Linked DNA regions of Ovis aries. The protein of the gene in region 1 binds, or shares a complex with, the protein of each later gene. Links are inferred from orthologs where the notes say so. Each region holds a gene or a part of one and is shown on either strand. Other genes may lie near its edges.

Region 1 (10,768 bases):
GAAGCCTGGGCGTCTCACTGGTGTGGCGCCCAGGCTCCAGGTGTGAGGTCTTTAGTAGTTGTGAAACATGGGCTCAGTTGCTCTGGAGCAAGTGGGATTTTCCTGGACCAGGGATAGAACTCATGTCGCCTCCAATGGCAGGCAGATTCTTAACCACTGGACCACTAGGAAAGTCCTGAAATAGTATAGTGTGGTTTTTTTTTAGTAATTTTATTTATTTTAGGCTGTGCTTCAGGGGCTTTTCTCTAGTTTCAGCGAGCTGGGGCCACTCTCTAGTTGCGATGCGTGGGCTTCTCTTTGCAGTGGCTTCTCTTGCTGTGGAGTCTGCGCGCTCTAGGGCAAGCGGGCTTCCGTAGTTGCGGCAAGTGGGCTCAATAGTCGAGATTCCTGGGCTCTAGAGCATAGGCTCAGTAGTACTGACGCATGGTGTTAGTTGCCCCGCAGCATGTGGAATCTTCTCAGACCAGGGATTGAGCCTGTGTCTCCTGCATTGGCAGGCCAGATCCTTTACTGTGGAGCCGCCAGGGGAGCCCCTAAAACGGTATAGTCTTAAAAATTGTTTCTCACATGACTTCAAAGATTGTGATTCCCTTTAGTCAATCATTAAAAAAATAACCCTTCATTGAATCCCTGCTGTGTACTAGATGCAGAGAATACAAAAATGAGTAAAAGAATTATTCTTGAGAAACTTTTCTGGGCAGTAAAGAGTTGGGATATCTCTCCTGTATTTAATGGGGACTTAAAATAATTGGAATTACAACAGTGAAGAGAAGGTATATGAAACAGATGGGACCTTATTATCATTTTTTTTTTACGATTTTTTTTTTAATGTGGACCATTTTAACAGTCATTTTGAATTTGTTACAATATTGCTTCTGTTTTTGTTTTGGTTTTTTTGGCAATGAGGTATGTGGGATCTTAACTCTCCAACCAGGGATCAAACCTGCACCTCATTGGAAGGCAGTGTCTTAACCACTGAACCACCAGGGAAGTCCCTGCATTACCGTTTCTTTTCTCTTATCATCTTTTCCTTCTTTTGTTGGTTATGAAGCTGACTTTACTTGTTCTTTGAGTTTAAAAACACTTATAACTGTAGGTACACTGCAGAAAGAAGAAGCACTTTTTCAATCACTCCAAGCATCTATGAGCAATGTAGTATCTCAGCCACATGACACCGTACAACTTCTTACAGAATTGACCTTACAGATATATTTGAACAAGATGGATATACACAGGTATCAGCCAGGCACTGATGTTATAATTAAATATTTATACACACACACACACACACACACACACACACACACACACACACACACAAGGGGGATATAAAGACTAAATGATGTGTATTATATATCAAACAAACATTCTGATCCCAGGTGGTCTAGTGAGCTCCAAAATGGTTCTGGCCCCATTTTTCTCTGGGGTAAAGACTGGAGAATGAAGAGATAGGACAAACACTGGTCCTGCGAAGCACCCAGAACACACGTCATCCCCGGGTTATTTTTCTGTCGTGTTCCTTATGCCAGGCGGAGGGCAGACTGCATTCTTAACCCTGTGTGCTAAGCCTCTCTCTTTCCCTTCCAGTGACTGCCATGTGGCATGGGTCTCTGCACAGGCTCGTAATGAGACAGTAGCAAGGCGGCTGTGGGACGTCAGCTGTGACCTGCTGGGCATTCCTGTGGACTGGCTGATGATGGCAGCTGGACCCAAGAGAAGCTTGAAGTAGACTACTTAGCATGCCCTGCCAAAACGATTCTCCTTCAGGATGGCCAAAACCTTGAGCACAAAGCACACCTTCCAACCTTGCCTGTTTGATGCCTGACAAAAGCCCAGTGTACACTGCCGGATTCATCCAAACACCTTGCATTTGTCCAGGTTATTTTGCTTCTATTACTGCCCGTTACTAGAGATAATATAGGCTAAGTAGACCCTCAGGTGACCTCCAAGCTCATCTTTTCCTTCTGAAGCCTCTTACCCAGGGGAACCTGAGCTGTGGCAGAGGTTGATTGATGGCACTTTGGATTAGTTTCTATCCTCTTTGTCCACAATGTAGTTCTTCTGAACCAAACAACCTTCAAGGGGAGGCATGATTTAGCCTCAGCTAAACTCTAGGAGTCCCAGTGGCTTGGCTCAAGGGCAGGGTTTGTCCTTCTTCTCTTAAGAAAACCGCCATGGCACCAATATCTGAATTCTTTCAGCTCTTCACTGAATCTGGATTGTGGCATGGCTTTATCTCTGACAATCCAAAGCCACTGCGGCTAAAACACTTTCCCATGCCTAGATCACAGAAGAACTTCCTTTTCTAAGAAAGTGGAGTTTACTGGATGGCAGAGATTTGCGGAAAGGCAGAAATAAACATCAAATTTAAACTGTCATTCATTTTTCTGCTGTTTCTCAAATCAGCAAGAAGGTAGTGGAAAAAGCAGTTTGCAAAGATAGGCCACTTGACTTCAGTTACTGACCCTGATTCATGGAGGCTTCCTCTTTGTGCCTTAGTTTCTCTTAGCAAACCAGAAGAGGAAGGCTATTTAATGATTGTCCCTGAGTATATCTTTGTGTGTGTTCTTGTGTGTTTAAGCAGTTGGGAGTATTCAAAATAGTCACAAAGGAAGAGTATTAAACTGGACCCTAGTGCCGATAAATAATCAGAGACAGAGCAGACCTGTGTCACTCAGCCTTTGATACAAATAGGAAATGAACTCTACCCAAGAAGCACATGGGTAGCAGGGGAGAAGTCCAAAAAAGAGCAGAATCCTGGAAGGTAATGCATGCAAAGGCAATGAAGGGGCTAGAAAAAGGTGTTTCTTTTTTTTTTTTTTTTTTAATGCACAGCTAAAGATGGTAAAATCCAGCAATAGAAGAATTGAGGGTAACTACTTAGCAGCACCCTGTGTTCAAGCATGATAAGGCACTGTTTTAACAAGCATCCGTCAACCCATGTGGCAGAAAAGCAAAAACAGTCCCCAACCCGCTCCAATTCTTTATTCAGCAAAATTATCTTAAGGATTGGTATTGGTAATTATGGTCATTTTAAAACTCTTTCAGGGCATTTCCTTATATGACCATGACAAGATTAAAATGTCTGCTGTATAGTTTACTTGAAGAATGTTTATCCAAAGTAATGGAAGTCTGAGAAATTGGAACACAAACATGTTCCATCACTTGCTTGGAGTACATTCTTTTAGTAGAGTTTATGATTTTCTTGGACTAGTAATTACATGTTCACTTTGGTGGAGAAAAGAGTCATAGGACCATAGTCTTCTCATATTTGTAAATAATCTTTTGTTGAACTTGTTTTGACCATTAAACTATATATTTAGATATGGTCATTTTATGGAAAAATTGGAAAACTTTTGATAATAGTACAGAACTGAATTAATATTTTACTTAATTTATATTGAACTGTCAATGACAAATAAAAAATTTGATGATTTACCATGTTTTTATTTACCAGAATAAAACCTGTAATAATTAAGCAAATTTAATTTGCATCAACAGAAGAAAGCAATTAAATGAAAGTTTAATTACGGTCAAAATAAGAAAACACTTTTCATTACTATGGTTATGCAATCAGTCCTCATTCATGAGGACAATTTGTCCCAGAGTTTGCCACAGTGCAGTCTCAATTCAAATGTTATTAACTTGGGTTGTTGATAATTTGATTGTTCATTCACCCATTTCTGCTAATCTTTTATGACACTGTTCAAAGACCACTTTTTCCAACCCAGGCTATTTATAATCTTTCCTTTTTGTACCTGCCTTTTCTGTAACACAATGCTATTCACTACTACTAACAATCCCAGACTTTGCTATCTCTGAATGCTCAATGAATACTGGTGTCTCAGTGATAAAGAATCCGCCTGCAGTGCAGAAGACTTGGGTTCCATCCCTGGGTCAAGAATATTCCCCTGGAGAAGAGAATGGCTACCCACTCCAGTATTCTTGCCTAGGAAATCCCCTGGACAGAAGAGCCTGGCAGGCTGCAGTCCATGGAGTCACAAAGAGCTGGATACAACTGAGCGACTGACACTTTTCACTTTCTTGGGACTTATCACAGTACACTGCTACTAACAACTGCAGACTTGGCTACACAAAGAGCTCAACAAATGTTTGTTGAATCAAAGGCCAATGAACTCAGTCTAATAAAAATAAGGGCCCAGGAGGTATATACATCACCAAATCATTTCCCCCGAACAGTCAAATGTATCTTAATGTGTGGGCAGTCTTCAGTATTGGGCTGCCAAGGAAACATTTCAGAATGAACTCCATAGGCAAACCATGTAATCAACGGAAATAGGAACTTTCTCCCACTAACCATGGGAACCCACAGAGTGCAGGAAAAGGCTTTGTAATCGTTAACACATTACACTTAATGGTGAAGCCAGGTCTGTCTTGCTCACTACATTATAAGTTATCCAAGCGATGAATCTTTTATTCACCAACACATGCCCAGAACCCAGCATAAAGGCTATGGTTAAATTGACAAACACCTGCTGAGTGAATGACTGCATGAGCAAGCCGATATATGAGCTCAGCCCAAATAAGAGGCTGAGCGCATATTTGAGGGGTCGCACTGCTGTCCGGGGGCCACTCCTGAAAGCATGTCACTCCAGTCACCTGCTCCCCAATAAAAGTGCTTTCAACTCGGGGGCAGGCAGGCACCTGGTCCTACTATCTTCTGAGAACTGAAAGCTAACAGCCGGAATGTGAACTGAGGAAATCAGGATAGTCACAGTGCGATGATAATGACGACGACGGCCAGGTGCCAACTGATACCCTAACCGCTGCGCATCGCGGTCACGCCGGCGGCCGCGGTTACAGCAGGACCACCGCCCCCGGCAACTCGTGACTTCCGAGTCGGAGCGTCTTTCGTGCCGAACTACAACCCCCGGCATGCACTGCAGAGCCCCCCCCCCCAATCCTTGCCGGAAGGCGGGGCCCAGGAAAGAGGCGCCCGCGTCGGCCGGCCCGCGGGTGCCCATGTTTTCCTTCCGCCATCCGGCCTCCCTACAGCCTCGGACTGAGTATTTCTGGGGTTCCGAGACTGCCGCTCGCGCCAAAGCGCCACCGCCCCTTCAGAAGTCTCCCGGGCAACGGAGCCAGACTAACTTTCTGTCAGGCTTTGACGCCCGGCGCGCCGTCAGTGACGGCAAGCAGGGGATGGGCGTTCCGGCCCGGGAGGACCCCGCCGCGGCCCCGGAAGCGCCTCGTCGGGGGACTGTGGCGGCGGTCGCCGTGATGCCTGAGGGGCTGGGCGGCTGACGGCGGAGTAGGAGCGGGCCCTGGGCCCAGAATCTCGGCGCCCGCTGCTCGAGAGCGGCCTGCGCCATGGCCACCTCCGCCGCCTCCTCGGAGCATTTCGAGAAACTGCACGAGATCTTCCGCGGCCTCCATGAAGACCTACGAGGGGTGCCGGAGCGGCTCCTGGGGATGGCAGGGACAGGTGAGGTGGGGGCGGGATGAGACAACGGGAACAGCGCTCCGCTAGCACCGGGAGGAAGAACCCCCACCTCCTTTCCAGACCCACCCTCCCGTCTCTCGCTTGGCGTCCTCAGGCACGCCCCCTAGGCCTGGCTGAGTCCCGGCGTCCAGAATCTCCGTGCTGACACTTAGGTACCCAGGGGTCCACCACGGAGTGTCATCTCTCTCTTGAATCCCCTGTTGCCTTCAGAGTTCGCTCGTTTCATTTTCACTGTGGCAAGATGGGCATGAGAGACCTTATACCTGTGACCCTTAAATCTGTAAACTGAGTATAATTGGTTTTCTTTGTGGCTCTCAGTACTTTGTTTTCCGCGCTTGAAAGTGTTCTCCAAAGAGGCCCATAGTTTTCACCAGATTGGCAAAGGACCTGTAGCACAAAAAGGGTTAAAAACCCAAAGCCATCATAACTTTGGAGGCTGGTGTAAATAACCAGTCTTGGGGGCGGGTAGGGGTTGGGGGAGGGATTGGTCTTTAAAATGAGGATGGTGGCCTTCAGGTGCGATCCTTTTATGACCTCTGCTTAGACCTTCCTGCCCCTTGATTTCATAATGCAGTGTGCTGCAAGCTTGTCTTGGGGGAGCTAAGAATTTTTTGATTGAATCTGTATAGGAAGGTCTATCATAGTTCTTTGCCTTAAAACAAGTAGATCTTGATGGCAAGGCCGATGAGACTTTCATTGCTTTTCCTGAAGCGTGGAAGCTTGAGTGTTTGCTCTGTTACCTAAGGTCACATGAATTGAATGACTCTGATGAGAATGAAACTCATACTTTTGTTTAACATATAGTTATTAAGAGAGGCTGCTGTGCACTCGGCACTGTGTAGATGCTGGTAATATTGCAAATTGCTGTGAAAAGACTTAGAGACCTCTGTTCTTATGGGTCGATGATGATATAAATATTTGGAAGTGGTGTTAAGGGCCATACAGGAAAATAAAGCAGGGCAAGGAATGGGGAAGCTCTAATTGTAAATTGGATGGCTATGAAAGGCCTCTTTGAGGAGGTAACGTTTGAGCAGAGACTTGAAGTAAGGGACTGAACCATGCAAAAATTTGGGAGAAATAAGTTTCAGGAGGACAGACTAGTACTGCTGCTGCTGCTAAGTCACTTCAGTCGTGCCCAACTCTATGCAACCCCATAGACGGCAGCCCAGCAGGCTTCCCCATCCCTGGGATTCTCCAGGCAAGAAGACTGGAGTGGGTTGCCATTTCCTTCTCCAGAATAGTACTGCAATAGTCCTTAAGCAGAAGTGAGCTTGGTATGCTCTAGGAAGAACTAAAGGGCCAGTGTGTTTAGGGTGGAATGAGCAAAGGAAATAATAGTAATAGATAAGGTTTTAAAGGGCCAGATTGTGTGGGGCCACGTGAACCCTGGTGAAAGATTTGCATCTTTATCTAAATACAGTGACTTGAAGTTAAAGGCTACAGAACAGGAGAGTGATTGGATCTGATTTACATGGTTGAAAAATAGATCATTTTTTTCACCTGGTGTTGATTTAAATTTTGCAAGATTTGTTTTTGTAAGGGTGTGGTTGTGGTTTAGTTGCTAGGTCGTGTCTGACTCTTTCCAACCGCATGGACTGTAGCCCACCGGACTCCTCTGTCCATGGCGTTTCCCAGATTGGAGTGGGTTGCCATTTCCTTCTCCAGGGGATCTTCCCAACCCAGGGATTGAAACCCCTGTCTCCTGCATTGCACTTGGTCTCCTGCATTGTAGGCGACTTCTTTACCAACTGAGCTATCAGGGAAGGCTAAATAATGCCAAAGGACATTCTGTTTCCAAAAATAGAAAACTTAGTTGTATTCACTTTTGTCATCTACCTGAGGACAATCAAAAAGGTGTGAATTTCTACCCAGGTACAAAATAGTCTCCACACAAGTTGCTGGTAACACTTAGTTGTTCAGTGGGTAAGTATTATATAGTATTTGCATATCCTCAGGTTATAAGAATTTCAACAGCCTTCAGTCCCTTTATTCACTGCTTTGTTTATATTCCTCAATAAATATTTGTTGAATAAGTTGGATTTAATTAAGCAAACATACTGGGGTGTCATCTCTGAATCCTTTTTTTCTTGTACTAAGACGACTTCATAGGCTTTCCAAAGCTTTCCTATCATGAATTATTAGGCACTGAATAATATAGTCACTGAATAATACATTAATACATAACACATCCCTTGCATTTAGCTTATGCTCTGTAATTGAATTCAGTATTTTCAATAAACATCTATCAAGAATTATGAATCACTCAATATCCTGGGTCTGGGGAGTTCTGTGAGTTCTTGCCTTAAATGGGAGATTTCCAAAGTGTGTGATGAGTCCTAAGATAGTTTTGAGACCGTGACAGGAAGGCTAACATGGCCGTAGGGGAGTGAGAGGAAAGCTTCTCAGAAAGGAGAACTTCTGAGTGTAAAGGGTTGAGTGGGAATTTGCCTGAGAGGGGAAGTGAGAAGAGACAACAAAGGAAGGGGAAAAGAAAAGTCAAATATTCAGAACTGTGACTGAAACAAGATGTGTGTAGGAGATCAATAGTAGATGAGGTAAGTAAGACACAGCCAGACCTTTCAGTTCAGTTCAGTCGCTCAGTCGACTCTTGGCAACCCCATGAATCGCAGCACGCCAGGCCTCTCTGTCCATCACCAGCTCCCGAAGTTCACTCAGACTCATGTCCATCGAGTCAGTGATGCCATCCAGCCATCTCATCCTCTGTCGTCCCCTTCTCCTCCTGCCCCCAATCCCTCCCAGCATCAGAGTCTTTTCCAGTGAGTTAGCTCTTCGCATGAGGTGGCCAAAGTACTGGAGTTTCAGCTTTAGCGTCAGTCCTTCCAAAGAACACCCAGGACTGATCTTTAAAATGGACTGGTTGGATCTCCTTGCAGTCCAAGGGACTCTCAAGAGTCTTCTGCAACACCACAGTTCAAAAGCATCAATTCTTCGGCGCTCAGCTTTTTTCACAGTCCAACTCTCATATCCATACATGACCACAGGAAAAACCATAGCCTTGACTAGACGGACCTTTGTTGGCAAAGTAATATCTCTGCTTTTGAATATGCTACCTAGATTGGTCATAACTTTCCTTCCAAGGAGTAAGTGTCTTTTAATTTCATGGCTGCAATCACCATCTGCAGTGATTTTGGAGCCCAAAGAAATAAAGTCTGACACTGTTTCCACTAAGGGACCTAAATATCACATTAAGACATCTAAACTTGATATGGAGAGTCAGTAAAGGATTTTAAATTCTTTTAAAAGGCAGCCCATGTTGATACCAAAGGCAGAAGACATCACAAGAAAAGAAAAATACAGGCCACTATCCCTGATGAACACAGATGCAAATATCCTGAACAAAATACAGATTCTAAAAATCGGACCATATGGTTGTATTTTAGAAGGAGAATGCTGGTGACTGAGTAGAGGTTGAAAGAGAGGCACAAAAATATGCTGGGGACCATACATTGGTGGATTTTTTTTCTGGGCTGTCTTTTCCATTCCATTGAGCTTTGAATTTGTTTTAATGCCAGTTACCATACTGTTTTCATTACTATAGCTTTATAATATACAGTTAACCCTTGAACACCAACCTTCTGTGTAGCTGAAAATCCAAGTGTAGCTTGTTGGCCCTCCTATCCAAGGTTCCTCAGTATCTGCAGACTCAGCCAACCATAGGTTATATGGTACTGTAGAATTTACTATTGAAAAAAATGTGTTTATAAGGGGGCCTGCCCAATTCATACCCTTGTTCAAGGGTCAGCTGTAGTTTGAAATCAGAAAGCATGATGCCTCCAGCTTTGTTCTTCTTTTTCAAAATTGCTAATTGTGGTCTCTTGTGGTTCCATACAAATTTTTGGATTGTTTGTTCTGTTTTGGTGGAAAATGCCCTTCATTTTGCTAATATTTTGTTGAGGATTTTTGCATCAGGGATATTGGCCTGTAATTTTCTTTTCTTGTGATGTTCTCTGGTTTTGGTATCGATGTAGTGCTGGCCTCATAAAAGACTTTGGAAGCGTTCCCTCCTCTTCTGTTGTAAGCTCTATATTTTGTCTGTTTTGTTAATTATATATCCTAAGCACCTAGATGGAAAAGGATATGGCAACCCACTCCAGTACTCTTGCCTGGAAAATCCCATGGACAGAGAAGCCTGGTGCAGGCTACAGTCCATAGGGTCGAAGCAAGTCAGACATGACTGAAGTGACTTAGCACTCAAGCACCTAGAACAATGCCTAGTACATACTTGGTGCTCTATAAATATTTGCTGAATGGTTGTATAAATACTGTGAGTTGTTGGGAAGAGAATAGTAACTCAACATATGATTAAATGTTGAAACTGAAGGTGATTTTATTTACCATGTTTTCCATATTGTCATCACTTTTAAAATCAATGTATACACCTATTTTTAAAAAGGATAGGATTAACAGACGCAATGTGTCCTACTTTAGGAAGTTTGTATGGAAGTGACAGTCCATTAGCATTTGTGATACTTATTAATCCATTATTACTTTAAACACCCACAACAGTAGTCTTAGTTTTGCAGCATCTGAAGAGGTCTCTCCACATATCTCAGGCTGCTGTAAATTCTTATCCAGTCAATACAGTAAGTACCTAGAGTCATGATTTCTAGTTTTAGTTTCGTAGCACCTGAAGGCATCTCTCCACATGTTGTAATGAACATTGTAAAATTATTCAGTTTTTCACTTTAATTCACTTAAATTTCAGTTGCTATACACAAAACTTCATTATTTTGGAAACCAGAAAAAATGATAACTATGGAGGACCATATGTAGCATGTTGGTAAACACAATTACTCACTGACTGCAGAATTTTAATTTTTCCAACACTTCATATTCTTTAAATTTAGTTTTTGCTTAGTTCTTCCTACCTAGGAATTTACTTTAAAAACACTGGTAGTCACTGTTTGTTGAGCCCTAATGTGCTTAGCATTTGCTGCGTGTTTGTTATGTGTATTGTCTTTTTCAGACAACTATACAGGTCAGTGCTGTTATATTTCTTATTTATAATTGAGGAACCAGGCTTAGAGTGATCTGATGCTTTAATTTCCTTTATGGTGTGAGATCCAGGTTAACCATGAGGTCTGCAAAGAGGATGTAGGTCCTAGAAATGCTGCAAGGAAGCACCAAAAGCATTAATCACAGATTTTAAAGATCCTGTTGAAACTGAAGTTATTTCCACAGTTCTAATGGACCAAGATGAGTCATTCTGGGGCTGTGAAAATTCAAACTGCTAGATGGCTGGATGGCATCACTGACTTGATGGACGCAAGTCTGAGTGAACTC
Region 2 (11,081 bases), on another chromosome or scaffold:
CTCCGTGCCACGCCACGCACCTGGAAAGCTTGTCAAACATGTTCACCAGCTTCATGGCCTCGTGTTCCTTCTGCTCCTCTGTCATGCCCTCCATGGGGTTGGGAGGCTTTTCCTCGACCCGTCCAGTCACTGGGTTTATGCTGTTTCACGAGAGAGAGGTGTGGGGAATGCATTAGTGACTCCAGGACAGGAGGGCTGCGTGGGGTGGGTGGAGTTCCCATCTTCCTGCCTGGGTTTGGAAGGGCAAGAAATTCACTCTCTCGGGTGCAGGGAAGGCAAAGCAGCCGCAGAAGGACCTCCTTCCAGGAGCAGCAGGTCACAGCTCCTGCTGCCTGGACCACCTGGCCCCCTGCATTGTTCAGACCTCTTCACCCTGTGTTCTCAGTGGAACACCCTGGTGTCAGAATGTGCCCTTAAAAGCAGAAGCCTGATTCTGTAAGGGTTTACCCATCGGTCACCCTTATCCCATTCACCCTGCAGCTTCAAATGGGTGTGGTAACAGGGATGGGGGCATTGAGTAAGAGTCTCAGCACACACCTGGCCTTGGCTTCCTTGTACTCGTCCGTGTCCGTGTCCTCGTCCTCTGAGTACTGGCCCTCAGGCCGGCCCCCTGCCATGAGGCCCCTAGCAGCCAGGAGGCCGGCGGCATTTCCATAGCCCGTGTACTTGATGAACCGGGGCACTGAAGGGCAGGGCAGAAGTCAGTGTGGAAGCGTAGCTGGGGAGGGGCAGGCAGGGGCAGGCCCCCCACTCACCGCTCTCGGAGCACAGGACAAACAGGAACTCGGCTGCCACCCTCTTCACGTCAGTGTCCAGGTGCGTCATGAGGCGAACTAGTTTGTTTCGCAACAGCTCCCCCACCTCAGGCCGGGTCCTCACGTCCCGCAGCGGGGGCAGCACCTGAGGAGGCAGCTGTCTCTCAGCCTGGGCCTGGAAGGACCAGGGTCTCCAACCAGGGCTCAGCCACAGCCCGTCTACCCCATACCTGGGCCTTCAGGAACTTCCTGGCGGGGCGGTGCATGCGGGCACACTCCGTCAGCACGCTCAGCACAGGGGCCACGCTCTCCTTCAGCCTGTGTGTCTGCAGAGGAGCCTCGGTCACTGGACTGGGCCCCCTTACTCAAGGCCGGGGGCCAGGAACCTGCCCCAGATGATCCTGGTGGGAGGCACTTGGGAAGTGGCCCCAGCTGAGGGACCAAGAGCGAGCCGTGGGTGTCTGTATGAGCTTCAAAAAGAACAGGCACAGACCCTAACTCAGAAGGCCATTTGTACGTTTGGGCAACCCCACGTACTTTCCCCACCTTTAAATGAGGGGTGGAAAACAGCATGTTTAAAGTCGTTAACCACCAGCACACAAGACCATTCCCAAAGCACTGAATCTTAGGCCTGCCGTGCTCCAGCCCGCACGACGCCGGCAAACCCCCAGAGAAGCTGGTCAGAGTGCCGGCCAGTCAGCATCCCAGGGTGCAGCTGCAGGGAGCGGGGGGCTGCGGGCTCTCAAGGGCCTGTGGGTCCTCCGAGCGAAACCATGGCACAGCTGACGCCCATCTCGAGGGCTGCTCGTGCACAAGGACATTCTGAGTCCAGGGGCACAGAGAGGGATGGGGAGCGTGGTGGCACTTCAAGGGGGTAGGGGTGGGAGGCTTCTCAGGACTCCTCAAGAGGATTCACAAAGATGTCTAAGAAATGAGTCCTTTGCCAGATTCTGAAAGCACTTTGCCCCTCATCCCTCTCTGTGCCCCTGGACTCAGACTGTCCCTGTGCACGAGCAGCCCTCGAGATGAAGCCCACAGACTTCTCAGGGAGGAAGATCCGGCTTGACCATGACGTGGGAGGAACCGCCCGAATCACACTGGGGAGGTGATCTCCCCTCACCAGTGTGGACAGCAAAAACACAGTGACCACAGTAGCTGCAAAAACCTGGGCCAAAGCCACAGCAGTCCCCCTGCCCACCTGATGAAGACGCTTCTCCATGAAGCTGAGGAGGACACGAATCACATCCATGTTCACCCCTAGGAACTCCAAGGAACCTCCGTGTGGCTCCAGGGCGAGGAGAACATCCAGACACTCGACAGGCAAGTTCCCCAGGAGGTTCACTGCGTGGCTGGGGGCAGATGGAAGGGGCACTTGGTGAATACCGACCCCTGCTGCCAGCTGCTGGGGCCGTAAATGCCGTGAACCAGTGTCTGGGGGCCCAAGCAGCAGAACAAGGTACCAGAGGCAAGAGTGCTACTTCCTGTAAATGCCCAACCCACCACGTATCTAGGTTGAGGCACCACAGCTAAAACTGAGAACCGGCCTAGGCATAGGCCACCAAGAAGGAAAGTGAGGAAGCACACCACCCTATCGATACCACAGCGCCCGCTGCCCCTACCCAAGGCCCCCTGGCACCGTCCTGCCTTGGACTCACACCTCCGATCCTAGACCATAAGTGCTGGAGCGCCCCAGAAACACACTTTTGTCTGGTTCCACCCAGAAGGATGAAGACTCTAAGGCTGGGAACCACCACAGCGACCTGTGAGCAAACCACCCCCATTCCTCCCCACCCCCCCGCATGACAGGCACCCCCCTCACCCGTGGAACTCCTCTGTGCGGTCTCCAGCAGCAGCAACCATCACACAGTGCCGCAGAAGGGTCCCCAAGTGCCGGTATAGAGCAGTGTCTTCCTGACCAGACAGACAGGAGTTCCTGTGAGAGCGCGCCCCACTGGCCCCACTGCTGCCAACTGAGAGTCTACCTTCTGGACACCCCTGCAAGACCTCATGCATTAACAACTATGCTTCTCTACTGCACACCCTGGTGCTTGTCCTCTCCCAGGAGACCTCAAGAGAACTCTCGGTTAAGAAAATCAATGGATCCCCTTGGCACACAGCTGCTCTGTGCTTCAGCCCCACTCAGTCTCACCACGAAGAATCTCACAGCCTCCCCTGCACACCACACAGCCCTCCAGCCAGGCTGCAAGAGCCAGTTATGCTCTCCAACTCCCTCAGAAAACTTCCTTGAGACCGGTCCAAGATAGGTGTTCCCTGCTTCTCTCGACTGGCTAAGCACACCTAATCCAGAAATTTGAAGGAACCCAGCAAAGCAGCATGTGCAGGAAATGTCCAAGCTGTTAAACCCCACCCACAGGTTGAGGTCCGCCCTCACCTCATCCACCTCCCTCTTGATGGAGTCGAAGGTGATGTTGAAAAGCACTTTGAGGATCTCCATGGCTCGCTCAGTCTCCTGGGGAGGCAGGAGCTCAGGGTGCCTCTCGCCCTCAGTCATTCCCAACGTCAGCTCCAGCGCCCTGGTCAGCAGGCGCACTCCCTGCAGCTCCTGAAACAGCTGCTGGCGCACGTCGGTGCGGAGTGCAGTTAGCAAGAACAGAAGACGCAAGTCAAAGAACTGGACGTCGTGCGGGAAGCTACTCCGGCTGTGCAGTCCGACGCGCTCTGCGAGCCTCACCACTAGCCCCGCCTCTGCTGCCAGGACCTGTGCCCCGGGGCTGCTTAGCACGAGGTTGCACAGGCACTTAAGGGACTCGAGTACGACATCCACGTTCAGCGGCTCAGGGACCGACCCTTGGGAGGCGGAGATGCCAGCATAGCAGGCAAGAGCCTGCAGGCTCCGGCGACTGGTGAAGGAGTCCAGGCAGCTGCGGTCCCTGGACAAGATGCGGATGCTCTGCAGCCAGATAACGCGGCGGGAGGGTGGCAGGCCCTGCTCCAGGACCGAGACAAGCAGCTTCGCCAGTCTCTGCGGGCAGGGAGAAGAGCCGTTCCACCAGGCCCTTCTACCTGGGCCACCCAATCACGCCCCTCCACCTCCGGTGAGCACCCACCTTCCTATCCTCCTGTTGCGCATCATCAAACGTGAAACTCTGGGAGTTCTGCAAAGAAACCCAGAGGCTAGAAGGCACAGGCCTACCGCGTCAGAACCCGGGTTCCGCGGATGGGGGCCTGAGGCCGAAGGCACCTCTATGAACAAATGGCGCCCCAGCCCCACACACCGGCACCCTCGCAACTCCTCAGAGAGTCGGTGCTCCTCCCCATCGCTCTCCCTTCCACCCTCAGCCCCTTGCCACGCTCACCGCTCTCGCCGCCCCTCCAGCCGGCCACGCGCGCGGGCCCCACCCGGCCCCACCTCCTCTCTGCACGTCCCAAGTCTACAACTCCCGCTCACCTCCCGGTTGTACGCGCGCAAAGCTTCCATAACCACGTCCTCCTCCCCCGTCTCCAAGGCATCCGCAACTGCACGGGGCTCCATGGCACCTCCAGGACCCGATGCCAGGAAGGCCGGAGGCTCCCGGCTTCGCGATTCCGGGCAAGCGTCTGCCCGCCCCGCCCAGGCTCGGCGCGCGGGGGAGGCCGGGACGGGGCGTGCGCGGCGCCGTGGGGCGGGGCCTGGGTTGCGCGCAGGGGAGGCCGGGACCGGGCGGGCGCCGAGCTCTCTGGGTTGCGTGGAGCCTTAAAGGGGCGGGGCCTGGGCTGCGCGCGTGGGAGGCCGGGACGGGGCGTGCGCGGCGCCGTGGGGCGGGGCCTGGGTTGCGCGCAGGGGAGGCCGGGACCCGGCGGGCGCAGAGCTCTCTGGTCTGTGTGGCGCCTTAAAGGGGCGAGGCCTGGAACAGCTGGATAGAACTTGAAGACTTTGCTGCCGAGTCAGCTTTGGCCTTAAACTCCGGCTCGGTGATCGTCCGACTTATGGGCCAGAATCGCCCTGAACCGAGCAGTGAGCCTCACTCCTTGGGCTAGGATTCCTGACAGGAGAGGGCCTCAGCCCCGCACCCCTCCATCACACGCACACCAACACCGCTCTTGATGCACAGAACGAATGAAACGTCCAGGGAAAAGTCGAGGTGGAAAGGAGTTTACAACCTCCGGACCACTTGGTTTCTAAACAGATGTTTGAGTGCCTACTGCACGCGAGGAGCCGGGATGCGGGTGAATAGAACCCACAGGTTCCTGCCTTCTTGGCGCTTATGTGCCGGATGTGAAGACTAAAACGGGCAAACAAGACGACGTTAGGCAGCTATAGTGCTGTGATTGAATAACAAAAGGGGCTTGATGGGCTGCAAGGAGATCTGAAGAAGTGCCAGTCAGTTTTTGCTGAGACCGGAGCCTAGGGAGTGAGCCAGGAAAGGCTCCGAAGGAAGGTTCTGCAAGGCAGGAGTGGCCAGTGCGAGGGTGGGAATGGCCGTGGAGGGAGAGAGAAACATCACTGTTGGAGCTGAGAGAAAAGAGAGACGGGGTCGGGGTGGGGGGAAGGTCAGGAGGAAGACAAAGTCTGACTGTGTGCGGTGACTTCCCTGCTGTGTAAGCAGGCACACCTGCTCGTCTGCTTGGGCTGTTTCCTTTTTTGAAAAGCAGAGACGATACAAGTTTCCATTTCAGTGGATTGTCGAGTACATGGCACAGCAATTGCTCCATTACGGGGGGTGGGTAACTTATAACCCATCCACCGGGCAAGAAGGCTTTGTTAAGCATCTACTTTGTCAGGCCCCTTGTCAGCACCGCGTGCAAGGTCAAAAAGCGCTGGCTCCTCCCGTACCCACTCCCCTCACGCTCCCACCCCTCTTCCTGGTTCCTTGTTTTCTTCAGAGGGCTTCACTCCTGCGACTTCTGCACCGCTCGCTCGTTCCAGGCACTGATCTCGTTTGTCCTGCCGGCAGTAACTGGAACCGGGCTTCCCATCGAGTTCGCTCCGGGCCTCAACCCCGGCGGGGTCGCGGCGAGGAGCCTCTTTGGCCCGGGAAAGGCCCGTGTGCTCTTCCCAGTTAGGACCCCGACACCGCCTTAGGCGGGAATGGCTGCTGGAGTGTCTGTGGGCACCATAGTTGCCTCTAAAACCACAAATCATCCAGGAGTCCCGAGAGCAAACGCCAGCCCCATCCCCAAGTCAAACGACGGAAGAAACGTCAGATTCTTCCCGTTCCCACCGCCGAGTCTGTCGGCCAGATCTCGGCCGGAAGTGGGGGGCCTGAGGCGGAAGGGGTGGGGCCGGAAGCCCCTTCCGGCGACTGCGCCACGTCCGAGGAGGCTGTAATCAAGCGGTGACGGACCCTGGGGTCGGAGCTGGACGCGATGGCGGACTGGGCTCGGGGTGAGCGCGGAAGGGCGGAGGCGGATGGCTACGGGGCTCGCCGGGGCCGACTCCGCTGCTCTTAGGAACCGCCTTCGCCTTTCTCCGCGGCACTAGGTGGCGTTGTTGGCAAGACACTGCGGGCGGGCGTAGTTTGGGCAGGGCGGCCAGGGTGCAGCCCGCCGCGCTGTGGATGAGTCGCTGGGTCCCTTTGGGCGCTCCTGCCCAGCTGCTGCGTGAAACTGCGGGGTCCGGATGCCCGCAGTCCCCACCCGTTTCGTCCCTGGGAGATGACTCTGCACGGGACCTCGGCCGGGTCTCCTGGTTGACGGGTCCCTGAGGCTAGACCCCCTCGGAGTGAGAGCTGCGCGTGATAGGAGGGCCCAAGCATGCCTAGTACCCCACTTGCCTTCTGGGAGTCTCTCTTCACCTGCGAAGTGGGATGCTGATGCTTGTTTCGCTGGGCTGTTGTGACTTTTAAGGAGTTAAGGGTACAGTCGGTCGGTAGGACCTTTACACCTCTTATTTTGGGGTTTGTAAGAAGCCATGGTTCCTAGACTGTGCCCGCTTTTGATGAGTCTCCTTGAGGCATCGGGCTCGAGGCAAATGCGCACTCTGAACTTTGTGGGAAACAGTTCTCACCAGCCTGGTAGGGTGGTAATTCTGAATCACCAGGCCCAGCGCCTGTCTCGGGCCAGTTCTCAGCGGGTACCAGGCTCTGGGTGACACACAAGACCCTGTGTGGGATCAGTCTCAAGCCCTGTAAGTCTTACCAGAGCTCATTGGGGTTTATTTTGAGAACAGGTTCTGTGTACCTTGCTAGTGACACCTGCGGAGGGATGGTACAAGTTCCGTCACAGAATGTCTGAAAGTACTGGTTGAACTGAGCCCTTTGGAGGTGCCCGCCCACCCATCCCAGCCTGGATACATGCACAGGACCTGTGCTCACACTGTTGTTTATACAGTCCTCCTCATGTGTGAAGTTGGATCCTGGGTGAGGGTGGGGCCTGCTCAGCAGACACACAGAGGCCGGGTCCCCTTAGATGCCTGACTGGGCCAGATGGGATTGGAGGCCGGAGGCCACAAAGGGCCGAGATTATAGGGGTCACGGTTCATGAGCGGAGTCATGCTTTCAGCCTCTCTCTCTCCTCACAGCTCAGAGCCCTGGTGCTGTGGAGGAGATTCTAGACCGAGAAAACAAGCGGATGGCTGACAGCTTGGCCTCCAAGGTCACCAGGCTCAAATCGGTCAGTGGTGGTCCTCTCCTTTTGCCTCCACCTGGCATCTGGAGGGGGTGGTCAGCGGGCAGTAAAGACCTGGATGGGTTTCAGGTAGTTCCGTTCTCCTTGTCCCACCTGTGGCATACTCATCTGTGCGAGGCCCAGGTGGCATTTGGATCTTCTGATCTCTGTTGATCTTGTTGGGGGTCAGGTGCTGTTCACTGTGTTTGTCCCGGTCTGACCCTGCCCCCTCTGTGTCCTGACCAGCTGGCTCTGGACATCGATAGGGATGCGGAGGACCAGAACCGGTACCTGGACGGCATGGTAAGGGCCTGCGGTTTGCAAGCGTCACGGTCAGCTCAGCTCCCCACCACCTGCTTTGCAGCCCCCATCTGTGTGTGTGTGTTGCAGAGTCACTGTCCCTTTGTGACAATGTTGGAATTTCTCCCTCAGGACTCAGATTTCACAAGTATGACGGGTCTACTCACAGGGAGTGTGAAGCGGTTTTCCACAATGGCGCGATCTGGGCGAGACAACCGGAAGCTTCTTTGTGGTATGGCTGTGGGCCTGATTGTGGCCTTCTTCATCCTCTCCTACCTCCTGTCGAGGGCAAGGACGTGAGCCAATGGGAACTGGCTTCTGTGGGTGCCTGGGGCAACCAGGATTTTCCTCTGTCTGGTGTTTTGGGCTCCAGAGAACTTGTTTTCAAAATACTCCTTTGAAATGAGGATCATGGCTTAGGAATGTTTTTTCTGCGTGGTTGGGAGCCTCTAACCCAGTGAGCTCTTGTTAGCTGGTTCTATGTGTGCAAGGGCCCTATCCCTGTGGGGTAGCCTAGGCCCAGCTCCCTCTGCCACCTTGAGCTCTAGAAGCCCCAGCAGTGTTGGGTCCAAGCAGAGCATCTGGGAATCCTGGACACGGCCGCCTGTGAGCAGCAGTCCTTTCATCGGCCCTTGAGGTTCTGAGCATCTCAAGGCTTCTCTGCGCTGTCTTGGTCTGGATGAGGCTGTGTCTGATGTTTGAGCTGCCTGGAGCTGACACAGGAAGGGGGTGTGGCTGTGAAGCTCAAATCACTGCTGTCACCTCCAACTGAGTGTCCTCAGCCCGGAGACTGCAGTTTCTCTGGCCAGGGCTGCTGGTCATCCATGACCCGGAGAGATTCAAAGGTCCTGCTGAGTGGCCTCTTCCTGCCCTCCAGTCCCGCGACTGAAACCAGGCCCTCGGGGATGGGCAGGGGGTGTGGGTGGAGGAAGGGACTGCAGCGCAGGCTGAGGACTTGGGGCCCAAGGCCTGCAGTTTCCCAGCCGTGTGTCCAGGAGCAGAAGCCGATGTTCTCACGGGATTCAGGATCTGCCCAGCACCAGAGGCCTGCTTCCCGGAGACTAGACCTCTGGAGACATGTCCGTCTGACGCTTCAGAGTCAGGCCCGGTGTGAGGCGGGGCTTTTGTCGGTGTACGCGGGAGGTTTCTGGATAGTGACTTTTCTTAGGAACTGTAGGGCACTTTTTGAGGGTTTGTGGGCAGTTTCCACTAAGCTAACCCTAACCTGCAATGTCTGCCCACCTCTCCCTGGGCCCTCAGTGTCCACTCGGTCAGTCCCCTGCTCCTATGGACTGAACTAACAGGCCCAGCCAAACCAGTGGCTTCGTTGTACCTCCCTGTGAGTCCCCGGTGTCCTCGTCTTCCCATAAAAAACGCTTGTAAGAAGTCGTTGGCTCTGTGTCTTTCCTGGTTCCTGTTCCCATCTTCTTGGGTACGCTCCTCACTCTGACCGTCCAGCTGCCCGCACACTCGTGCCGCGTGTGGGGCATCCGCTCCTCTCGCCACCTTGCCCTCTCCTCTGCCCGTGCGGACCTCGCCTTCTGGCCCTGGCACTCTGCCGCTCCTCTTCCTCTCCCTGGTTCCCTGCCCAGCAGGCCCGGCCTCTCCTCAGACGCTTGCCATGGAGCCCTTTTCTCTCTGCTGCACTTGGCTGGGCCCTTGGCCTCCTGAGTGTTCTGCCTGACGGTCACCATTCCTCCAGTGCGTGCTGCTCACACAGTAAGGTTGGCCTGCTTGCCTCTGTGTCCCTGGGGCTTGGGTTTATCTCTGTCCTCCTTGACATCCCTGCACAGGACCCTGTGGCCGTGCCTTGACCCCCGTTTTGTGTACCACGGCTTTGACTTCGCCCTCTGCCCTCTCACAGTGAACCTAGTCACAGGGACTTGTCCACTGGTCACCAGGCTCAAAGCTGCTACCCATAGAGTGTCTTCATCTGGTCACTGCAGGCACAGCAGATACCCCCAGACCTGAACTCCGTGGCCCCTGCCTTTTCTGGGCCTGCTAACCTTGCTTCCTGAGAAAGTGGCTCAGCCAGGGCAGCCCTCCTCAACTGCCCCGCTCCAAAGCAGACCAGGAATTTGGAGTTCGTGTTTCAGGGTGGTCTTTTCTGAGGAAAGTGAAAGTTGTTCAGTCGTGTCCGACTGTTTGTGACCCCATGGACTGTAGTTCATGGAATTCTCCAAACAAGAATACTGGAGTGGGTAGCCTTTCCCTTCTCCAGGGAGTCTTTCCATCCCAGGGAACGAACCCAGCTCTCCTGCACTGCAGCCAGGGTCTCTACCGACTGGGCTGTCGGTGAAGTCCCTTCTCTGAGGAGGACTTCGCCATCTCTGCTGTGTGGTTTGCCTCAGGTTGCCGTCTGTGCCTCCCTGCTTCTCCATCTCTGTGACTCTGTAGCCTTCCCAGCTATTCGGGGTCTGGGTGTTTGTTTGTCATTGTGTTAGATGAACAGCTGAAGCGGGCATGGAGCTCTGCTGTGCTGTGTCAGGAGGGTTTCCTGTGGGGCCTTCACCCTTCTCAGCCCTGTACACTGAGCGCCTAGTCCTGTGGGTGAGTGGGGTTTGCTGACGTTGAGCCCGAGACTATAAAGCAGAGAAGGACTTGAGGACCTTTGGGGTCACGTGTGGACAGACAGCCAGGCTCTATCCCTTAAGTCAAAGACAAGGCATTTAGCAAGAAAAACTCGAAATAAACAGCATCAAAGTAAACATGGCCTTTGGTGTTTCCATTTCTGTGGGGGCTTCAGAAAGGTTTGTCTGGAACTGACCGTGATCTACAAGCTGGCCACAGGCACTGGTGGTCTTGACTCTGCTGCTCACACATCCCCCTGGACAAGCAGATGTGGGCTTGACAGTTCCTGCTCCTGGACCTTTGTTTGCCCAGGTTCCTGTGACTCAGATGGAAAGATGATAGCATTACTGCGTCAGGATTGGGGGAATATATGTGAGTACTTAGAACAAGTAGCCTGACACAGTCACAGCTCAGTGAGGGCCAGCAGTTGTCATGTCCTTCGTATAGCTGCCGGCACAGGTGCAACAGGGCTGCCTGCTCAGGGCTGGGGTGAAGATCAGAATCATTCCTCAAGGCTGGCCCTGGACTCCAGGGTGCCCTCTGGAAACACCTCTCTTCATCCCCGCTCAGACACCCCTCCCTGCCCACACCCTGCTGTGCTCCTGGGCTTGATGCATAGCAGACCACCTTCAGGTGTCGCCACAGGGGACTCTGTCTCATGGGGACCCCTTGTGTTTGAGACAGAGATGGTTCTCTCTGCGCTAGGATGTTAGTTACAGCCTTTTGGAGGCAGGCTGGCACTACCACCCCCTGCAAGCTCAACACAAATCTGCAGGTGGTTGCAGAATGTGAGCTGAGGGCCCACCTGGCCTCACTGCCTTGCTGTGTGTCGAGCTCACTCACAGTGTGGTGGCTGATGGGAGGATGAGCAAAGAGAAGGGGGTTGTCCAGGCAGAAACCCTTTGTATG

Evidence for each region.
Region 2: VTI1B (region 1) and BET1L share a complex: the UniProt entries of both Homo sapiens proteins name them as parts of the SNARE complex. The link is inferred for Ovis aries from reciprocal best matches to the Homo sapiens genes VTI1B and BET1L.

The regions. Positions count from the first base shown.
Region 1 is NC_056060.1:77,613,414-77,624,181, reverse strand, and holds the start of VTI1B (vesicle transport through interaction with t-SNAREs homolog 1B), read left to right. Parts: upstream 1-5,201; 5' UTR 5,202-5,331; coding exon 5,332-5,446; intron 5,447-10,768. Other genes in the region: RDH11 (retinol dehydrogenase 11), read left to right, coding at 1,588-1,729. UniProt on the Homo sapiens protein: V-SNARE that mediates vesicle transport pathways through interactions with t-SNAREs on the target membrane. These interactions are proposed to mediate aspects of the specificity of vesicle trafficking and to promote fusion of the lipid bilayers.
Region 2 is NC_056074.1:47,473,765-47,484,845, forward strand, and holds BET1L (BET1-like protein), read left to right. Parts: upstream 1-5,996; 5' UTR 5,997-6,062; coding exon 6,063-6,081; intron 6,082-7,215; coding exon 7,216-7,307; intron 7,308-7,547; coding exon 7,548-7,604; intron 7,605-7,733; coding exon 7,734-7,901; 3' UTR 7,902-8,987; downstream 8,988-11,081. Other genes in the region: RIC8A (synembryn-A), read right to left, coding at 21-140, 538-682, 756-900, 986-1,081, 1,954-2,104, 2,575-2,666, 3,148-3,738, 3,824-3,871 and 1 more. UniProt on the Homo sapiens protein: Vesicle SNARE required for targeting and fusion of retrograde transport vesicles with the Golgi complex. Required for the integrity of the Golgi complex.